2 linked regions of the Cricetulus griseus genome follow. The protein of the gene in region 1 purifies or fractionates together with the protein of each later gene. This does not show direct contact. Links are inferred from orthologs where the notes say so. Each region holds a gene or a part of one and is shown in the gene's direction. Other genes may lie near its edges.

What was found. The genes of interacting proteins can lie anywhere in the genome.
Region 2: the proteins of Arhgap17 (region 1) and Capzb purify together in Homo sapiens (affinity purification with mass spectrometry; 3 studies listed by BioGRID and IntAct, with this or other methods). This does not show direct contact. The link is inferred for Cricetulus griseus from reciprocal best matches to the Homo sapiens genes ARHGAP17 and CAPZB.

Annotation. Positions count from the first base shown.
Region 1 is NC_048596.1:77,347,766-77,351,891, forward strand, and holds the start of Arhgap17 (rho GTPase-activating protein 17), read left to right. Parts: upstream 1-1,665; 5' UTR 1,666-1,802; coding exon 1,803-1,855; intron 1,856-4,126. UniProt on the Homo sapiens protein: Rho GTPase-activating protein involved in the maintenance of tight junction by regulating the activity of CDC42, thereby playing a central role in apical polarity of epithelial cells.
Region 2 is NC_048595.1:14,117,304-14,121,429, reverse strand, and holds the start of Capzb (F-actin-capping protein subunit beta), read left to right. Parts: upstream 1-1,358; 5' UTR 1,359-1,373; coding exon 1,374-1,478; intron 1,479-2,510; exon of another isoform or gene 2,511-2,525; coding exon of another isoform or gene 2,526-2,615; intron 2,616-4,126. UniProt on the Homo sapiens protein: F-actin-capping proteins bind in a Ca(2+)-independent manner to the fast growing ends of actin filaments (barbed end) thereby blocking the exchange of subunits at these ends.

The DNA of each region.
Region 1 (4,126 bases):
AGCCTTATTTCAAATCTCTCTGTTGTTACTAATGTTGATGATTGCAGTTTCCTGCCTGACCCAAGGCTCCATGCTTGAATTGTGATTACTGCAGAGTTTTAAGTTTCTTGTTCTTTGATCTCAAGATGTCCCCTGTATTATAGTTACTTTGCTCTCTGTTGTAAGCAATTGCTAGACAAGATGCAATGTTAGGGGGGAAGGGTTTAGTCTGGCTTCCGGTTGGAGGGATGTCCACCATGATGAGGAAGGCACCGCTGTAAGAATGTGATCCTGCTTGTAGGCCACTCGCCTCCACAGTCAGAAAGCAGAAGGCTTTGCATGCTCCTGGTTCAGCCAGCTTTCTCCTTTTTATACAGCCTGGGGTCACAGATGATGCAACACTGTGGCCCACATTTAGAGTGGGTGTTCCCATCTCAATTAACCTAATGTAGATAATTCTTGACAGACATGCGCGGAGATTTGTTTCTAAGGTGTCTCTAGATCCTGTCAAGTTGACACTTTAAACCATCACATAGCTTGTGAAGGAAGCCATAGTCCACCGGATGCAGGGAATATTGTCTACACAGAGCCAGGGCTGCAGGTCATAAAATTTGCCTGGTTCAGTTAGAGCAATGTGAAATGATCCCACCAAGTTTCCCCTCTCCACTGTGTCTGCGAGGGCTAGGAATCAGAACCCTATGGTCATTTAAGGCAGCAGGGACTCAGACCCATCAGTGCAGGGGCTGGTAAGGACCAGTTTCCTTTGGCTGTGGGCCTATGTGTATACTCTGTAGGTGGCCTTCATCTGATTGATCCTAGTCTTTTAGCTTTTCCCATGGACCAGTAAGCAGCTCCTGAAAAGAGCCTTCATGACACACTCTCTCCTGACACTTTGCCCTTTGTGCAGGACAGAGGGCAAGGTGTGCGGGTGTTGAGGGCCTGGAGCTCCTCGAAGGGTTGGTTCACCCCGCTTGATCTGGCTCGGCTCACTCCTGCTCTGCTAGGATATACTCTGGTCTGACCCACCAACTCGGCTTAGCTTTAACCAGATTTAGGTTCTGCTCGCACTCCCTTGACTTGGCCTCACTCCAGTAGGAACACCCTTTCTATTCGGCTTGGCTTGGTCCGGCTACTCCCTCTCCAGACTGGCTCGGCTCTGGGGTCCGGCTGGGCGAGGCACCATCTGTCTGTGTTCCACCCTGAGCAACCGAGCCGGGATTTACTAAGGCTCACCCGCGTTCCAGCTGGCCCCACTAGAGTAAGAACCCAGGTTGGGCTCAGCTCGCTGCTTCCAGCAGGGCTCACGCTAAGAACCGCGGGGATCCAGGTGCCCCGCTAGGTTTGGCTCCGCCCTTCTTGGGGGAGCCACGCTCGTCCATCCCTTATTGGCTCAACTCCACCCCTCTCCACTCGACGATTAGTTCGGCTCCACCCCAAAGTTCGCCTAGCTTTGGTGGTCTTGCTCCGCAAGACTTCTCTGGTTTCTGCCCGGCCGGGTCCAGCTCAGCTCCACCTATCTCGTTTCGCCCGGGTTCGGCTCGGCCCCACCCACCTCGCTGGTTCCCGCCCTGATCGGCTTAACTCCACCCATCGCACCTTCTTGACTCCACCTCTCTGGTTTCGGCCTTGTTCGGCTCCGCTCGGCCCCACTCGGTCGAGCAGGAGGGGCGGGCGACAGCCCTGGAAGTGACGCGGCGAGGGCGGGCCCGAGTTGTAGCCTCGGTCGCCGCCTCTCGGGCCGGGAAACGATGTAGGAGCCGCCAGACGGTCCCCAGCTCTCCCCGGCCCGAGCTCCGCGGCCTGTCGCCGCCGCAGCCGCCGCCATGAAGAAGCAATTCAACCGCATGAAGCAGCTGGCTAACCAGACTGTCGGCAGGCGAGTGCGCGAGGGCGGTCCTGCGCGCGAGGAGCCGAAGAACGGGGAGAGCCGGGCGCGGCCGGGCCTGGGCCAGCGGGGCGGGGGTCTGCGCCAAGCTGCGGCTTAAGCGCTGCCCATTGTCCTGCCCTAAGGACCATCGCCCTCGGGGGACCCACGCGAGCCCTTACTCCTCTCTGTCCCCGCCAGCCCGAGCTTGGCGCCTGCTGCGAAAACTCCGCAAACTTGTGTTCCTAACGCAGTGCCAGGCGCGCCGCTTTGGGGGCAGCGTTCCCAGGCTCTCCCAGTCGACCCGCTGTTGCAGCCTTCCTCCAGAAGAGCTTGCTGGTCACAGGGAACTGGAGGGGTGTTAATGCCAATGAAGTTCAGTCTCCCAGTGAAGGAATAGAGACGTGCAATCTCAAAATCCAGGCTATTGGGAACTTGTTGCGAGTTCTTGACGTTTACAAGTTTGGAAAGGGAAAAGGATGTCTTTTCTCCTCTTGGATGCGGAAACAGATATTTTGTTTCTTTGATACTGCTTGAGTGCTTGATAGGAAACATTGTTTTTTCTTTCTTTTTTTTTTTTTTTACATGAAAAGATACAGGAGAGACTGTAGATGAGTAGGCTGTGGAACAGGAGCGATTTGCGGTTTTTAAGAGCTTCAGGAGGCTGTTGTCATGTACTGTGCTAACTGTAACAAATATTTCAAGGTCTTGCAGGGCAGATAGCTGTGCTGAACCACTTTGCTGTTTATTCTGCACGGAGATAGATGAATTTTTCACAGCTCTAACGCTTTCTCTCCTCCCCTGGCAGTTAAGGGGAGTTTGGTTTGGTTGAAGCACGTGAGACACTTCTTTTTTTGTATATGTAGGAAAATACTTTTACTTCCTCTTGAGTTTTCTAAATTTGCTTTTTAGAATGTTTCATTTCCCTCAACTTTTTGCTAGGTTTTGTTACTGAGTTTCAAACAACAACAACAAAAATAACTCATGTAATTTTGGTATGCATTATCCTTTATCTAGAATCAGTCCCTGCCCCTTAAACCCAGACATGCCTACTTTACTGCTGCTTGTAGAATTAAAGAAAGAGGAAGATCAAGACAAACAATCCCAATGGCTCAAATGAAAAACATTATGAGAAATAATTTCTTCTGAGTTGTGCACCCCTTTCTCAGCCATGCATGGCAGAATCAAAACTTAGTGAATACCAAGATATATTTGTTAGGTTGCTGTTTATTTACTTATTAGACTGCTTTGTATTGTGTGGTACAAGGGACAGTTGCTGAAAGCTCTGTAGGGTTCTGTGGGCTCCTGCTTCCCCTTAGCTTCCCTTCCTACTTTTACATTCCAGCCATACCTACCCACTTTCAGTTTCCATGGGAGGCCTGTGTTTCTTCTGTATTATTCTCTTCCTGGACATCCCGGAAGCCTTTTTCACCACATCTAGCTGATAGCTACCTCTTTCTCATTCTTCAGGTCTCTCAGTGATAGTCTCTGTGCCCTATGAAGGTCCTTGGGGCATAATACCATACGCTGCCTGCTTTCTAGACTCAAACTCCCTCTTTACCTGTGTGTGTTGGTTGTTTGACTAAGCACTCTTGAGTGTCTTTCCTATGTGTCTTTGGTTCCCACGATTTGTGACTCCTATCTCATGACAGATAGCCTGTTGAAATTGTTAACTTCAGGAGTCTAGCTCTTACTACATTGCCTGGTGCTGTGGTATTAAGTTTGGGAAAATGTGAACAGGATAGAGTGGTGGTGATTCATACTGGGACAGTAATTCCGGCCCTGACCTTTGACTCTTTGAAAATCTTTATTGCTAGATGCCAGTGGAAGCTGCAGCTATTGCAGAGCTCTAAGGGTGTGGCAGCTATGAGACTCAAGTCAGAACATCTGTTTTTATTGGGGAGAAAACCTGTTGCTCTCTAGCTGTTGATTTCCTAGATCTCGATATCTCCCTCCCTCCCTCCCTCCCTCCCTCCCTCCCTCCCTCCCTCCTCCTGTGTGTGTGTGTGTGTGTGTGTGTGTGTGTGTGTGTGTGTGTGTGTGTGTTCCTATTTAAGTAACCCTAAGGGGTAGAAAGAAAAATAGATGACAAACCTGAGAATTATTATTGAATGGAGCCAGATGATTGATAGGCACCAGAAGCAAATACGGGTGTATTTGAGTAAAGATCTTTTCTAGCACAGATTTCTCCCAGCTGTGATCTGTATAGAGAAGGAATTTATATATGTGAATGCCCACTGTTTGTTTATCAGTGTATAGAGTTGTAGATGGTACCTTCTGGTG
Region 2 (4,126 bases), on another chromosome or scaffold:
CTCTGCTTACCTCCTCCATCCACTCTGATGCTTTTTCTTAACTCACCTCCTGACAGCATTCAAGCTCAGCAGCGCCTTAACTCAGGGCAGGTGTACATATCCAGCTTGCAGGAGGCTCCATCTCCTGAAGCGAAATTTCACCTACAAACTCTAGGCTAGCATGAGATATTTTGCCCATAGCTGCAATCTCCATAGTCTGCATAATGCTTGGCCAATTGTTACACAATAAATACTTATGGAGTGATGACTTTCTAAGTGCCACTCCCTTCTCTGACCTCCTGTAATACTGGTCTACTGCCACTCTTGAGGGACTTAACCATTCACTGGCTGTTCCTGAAGGCTCTCACTTGTTTATGAGCTCAGAGGCCTCGGGCATAATCTTTCAGGGATGAAATTTACTGATCCCCACTCCCACCTACGACCTGATTTGATTTTAAATAGAAGGTGAGCAAGTCTGGTAGGTAGGTATTATGAGCAAGATTTGCAGTCTAGATTAACTCAACAAAGCATTTTGAAAAGTGCATTTCTAGGGCTGCGACTTCAGTTCAGTGTAAGAACATCAGCGTAGCAAGTATGAGGCTCTAGTTCAATCTTCAGTTGTGAAAACAAAGAGGGATTCCTGAGTCACTGGATGGAGCGAGGAAAAGACTCATTTGGCAAAAAGGCTGATTCTCTGCAGGTAATGTAGAAAAGTATATCTAACAGCCAGCATTTATTGAACCCAAATGTTCTATCTTTGTACCCGCGTCTTCCTCACGACCACCCTGTCTGGTAGCCAGGAAGTGCGGGCAGGGATCCTTCAGGCTTATTCTCCTGTCATCTTCTGGTACCTAAAGGCTGCCTCCCCGGTCGTGATAGCGGGTGTTCAGCCACAGGGGCGGCAGCGCCGGCGTCCCAGTGCAGGCTCCGCTAGCGCTCTAGGGGCTGGGCCCCATTCTGGCGCACCAGTTCCGGGTCCGGGTGGGGCGCGGAGGGCCGGTCCCCTCCTAGTTCAGGGCCTTCCGCATCCTCCGCCCAGGGGGGCCAGTGAACCGCTCCACCCTCAGGTACCCCGTGTCCTCCAGATGCTAGATGGCGAAGTGGGCAGCAGGAGGGTGCCACGGCCGCCTAGGTCCCTCCGGTACGCGCGAGCCCCGGGCTTACGGAACCAACGCGCCTGGCCCGCGTAGGGCCCGCCCTCCCCCATGAGAACACGCCCACTCGACCACAGGACCCACCCCCGTCCCCGCCCCCCGCGCAGAGCTCCATACTTGGCGATCGCCGCGGCCCCGCTCGCTCATTGGCCGCGAGCTGGCGGCGTGGGGGGGGTGGCTGGCGGGGAAGGAAGGTGGCGGCGGCCGGCGCGGGTGGGGGGGAGGGGGGCGCGGACCCGGATGTTCACTCTTGGGCACCCGGGGGAAGTGGAAGCGCCGGGCCCTGCTGCGGGGGGGAGAGCTACAGACGCCGGGACAGGGACCGTCGCCGCCGCCGCCACCATGGTAAAGGGACCCCCTCCACGGCCCCATCCCGGGACCCCCCTCGGGAGCTCCCGTCTCCTACCCCGCGGACCCGCCGGCTCGGGGAGGGTGGGACCCGGGGTGGGGGAGGGGTGGGGTCCGGGACCCTGGGCAGACGCCACCCCTCAGGTCCGGAGGGGTCGGCGGGAGGCTCGGGTGGTGCGTGACCCCGCCCTGGGCTCCATGTGGAGCCGGGTTCTTTCCCCGGCATGTCCAGGCTAGTCTCGAGGATCCCAGGCTAGACCTTCCTTCCCCTAGAGGCCGGGCCAGGCACCCCTCTCTCAGGCCCGCATCCCACGGCCTGAGCTAGGCTTCCCTACCTCGGCCCCAGGGCCCAGGCTAGGATGGTGCTTCTCGCTGCTGCGACCTATGCTAGGCCCCCTCCACTCAAACTCTTCTCTCCATGGCCCCAGCCTGGACCCCGACGACCCCTTTCTAGTGGCCTTAGCCTACGTTTGTTTCCTTCACCCCCATGGAATCTTCTGTCCGTGGTCCTCAAGTCTGGACTCTACTCCTGCTGTGCCCTCCACCTGCACCTCCTTGGCCCTGGCCCTAGCGATCCCCTTCCCCCAGACTTCTCACGACTTGGCTTAGTCTGCGTCAGCCCGCCGTTCTCATCCTCACCCTCCCATCTAGACTCTGCTTGCTTGGTGTCCTGCTCCCGACCTAGGTGTCTCCTCCCCTGTTCCTAGGACGCTCCTTCTTGGCAGTCCCTGGCAAGCGGGGGAGAGCCCCAGCCGGGGTGGGGGTGGTCCGGGTACTGTGCTTTCCTATACTTGAGACTTGCCCCTTTGGGGAGGCTGCTTCGCTTCGGAATGAGCGAGCGAGCAAGAGGCATAAGGGCGGCATCTGTGTGCCCGGAAGGCAGACCAGGGCATTTCCCGTGGCCGCCCTGCCTGAGAGGGGAGCAGAGTGCTGACGGTGACGAAGCCGAGTGGACAGGGATGAACGCATAATCGCTCTTGTGAGGTCGCGGCATGGGGGCTGGGGGGACACCAAGCTCAGAGACCAACATATGGCCTGGATACGATGCACCCTAGCAGGCGAAGCCTCCCTTTCCCCCTGAACTGTCAGCTTGTAAGGGTTGGAACTTCTGATTATGGAGGTGTCTCGGAACAGGTGAGCAAAACTCGCAGGCTGAGACTTCCCTCTGGTTGAACCCTGGTGTGTGTTTTGGTAATGAAGGCAGGCACACTGTGTGAGCAGCTTATTTGAGGAGCCTTAGGGGTGTCCCCCCATAACCCTGCCCCCCATCCACTTGGACACCTTCTGCAGAGCAGGTCCAGCACCTAGATGGAAGGGCCTCAAATGGTCAAGGAAGCTTGAAAAGTGGACAGTTAAGGCCATCCACCTGCTGCATGCCTCACAGCCTTGTGGTCGGCTCCCCTCCTGCTGATGATAGATGTTTGGGAGTGGACTTTGAGCTCTAGATGTTTTGAGGAACCCTGTTCCTTGTTTAATCAAGGGTGTAGCAACTGAATTAGGGTGCCTAATTCTGGTTGGCTAATAAACTTTCTATATATTGATTTAAAATGTAGGCAAGACTGTCTGTCATACTATTGTTCTTTGAAAACTGGCCTGGGGGTCTGGACTGTGGCCTTAGTCCGCATGGGGAAGGACTTGTCTAGGACAGTTTTGGGTGAGACTTTTAAAAGTCAACTGAAGTTTTCTATGTGTGCTCCGGGAGCCAAAGCCAGAGATAGTGGTGGAGTGGAGTGGAGTGGCCAGAGTCCTCTATGCTTCCCCTGTCACCATCTTCTGACAGGTGAAGAGAGGCTGGGGCATTCATTGCATCTCATTCAGAGCATTGCTCAGTTTGTGGATGGACCACTCTTGGCCAGTGGAAGCAGTGGCTTGGCGGGCTCCAGACAGTGATCTTCCTGGTAGGCTGTTGTATGTCTGATATAATGACATTGTTTAAGAAACGTAATGACCGGATGCTCAAACATGGCAAGGGCGGGCAGAGTACTTATTCCTGCAGACTGGGTGTGGATATTCCTGGTAACCGGAAATGTCATCTTGATACAGTAGTATGGTCTGCCTGGACCTGATCCTGAGCTCTTTGGGGACTGAGATTTTGGTCTGGTGTTTTTGGCCTCTGTCTGTCTGGGTTCTAGAGCAGAACCTAAGACTGAAAGATACAGCATGGAAGGCTGACACCTGTAATCAGCTGTTAAGGCGTCCAGGGCCAGCTTGGGTAACACAGTGAGAGTGAGACCCTGAGTTTCAAAAAAGAAACAAGAGATTGCTTAGGGTGTCTATGAGCTTTAGCCACTTGAGGTTTGGTGCTCATTCACTCAGCAGCTTGTTTTTCGTGTCCCCCAGGCCTCTAAGTAATTTCTGACTGCCTGTTGTCAAATCCGTACCATGCTTGAATGATCTGATGCCCTGGTGTGGGCAGTTGGATCAGTTGGCAGAGTGGAGCTATATTATAGGTAATGAACACCATGGTTTTGTTTTCAGTGGGCTTGGTGGCAGAACAAACAACTCTAGCTCCAACTTATCTGCTGAGGGAAAGAGAAGCCTGAGTTTTTTTTTTTTCTTGAGTCTGGTTCACTGTCCCTGTTAAGAATGCTTAGGCAAATGCATTCCCTTTGCAGGCAGTCTTACCACCGTCCCTAAGTGCTTTG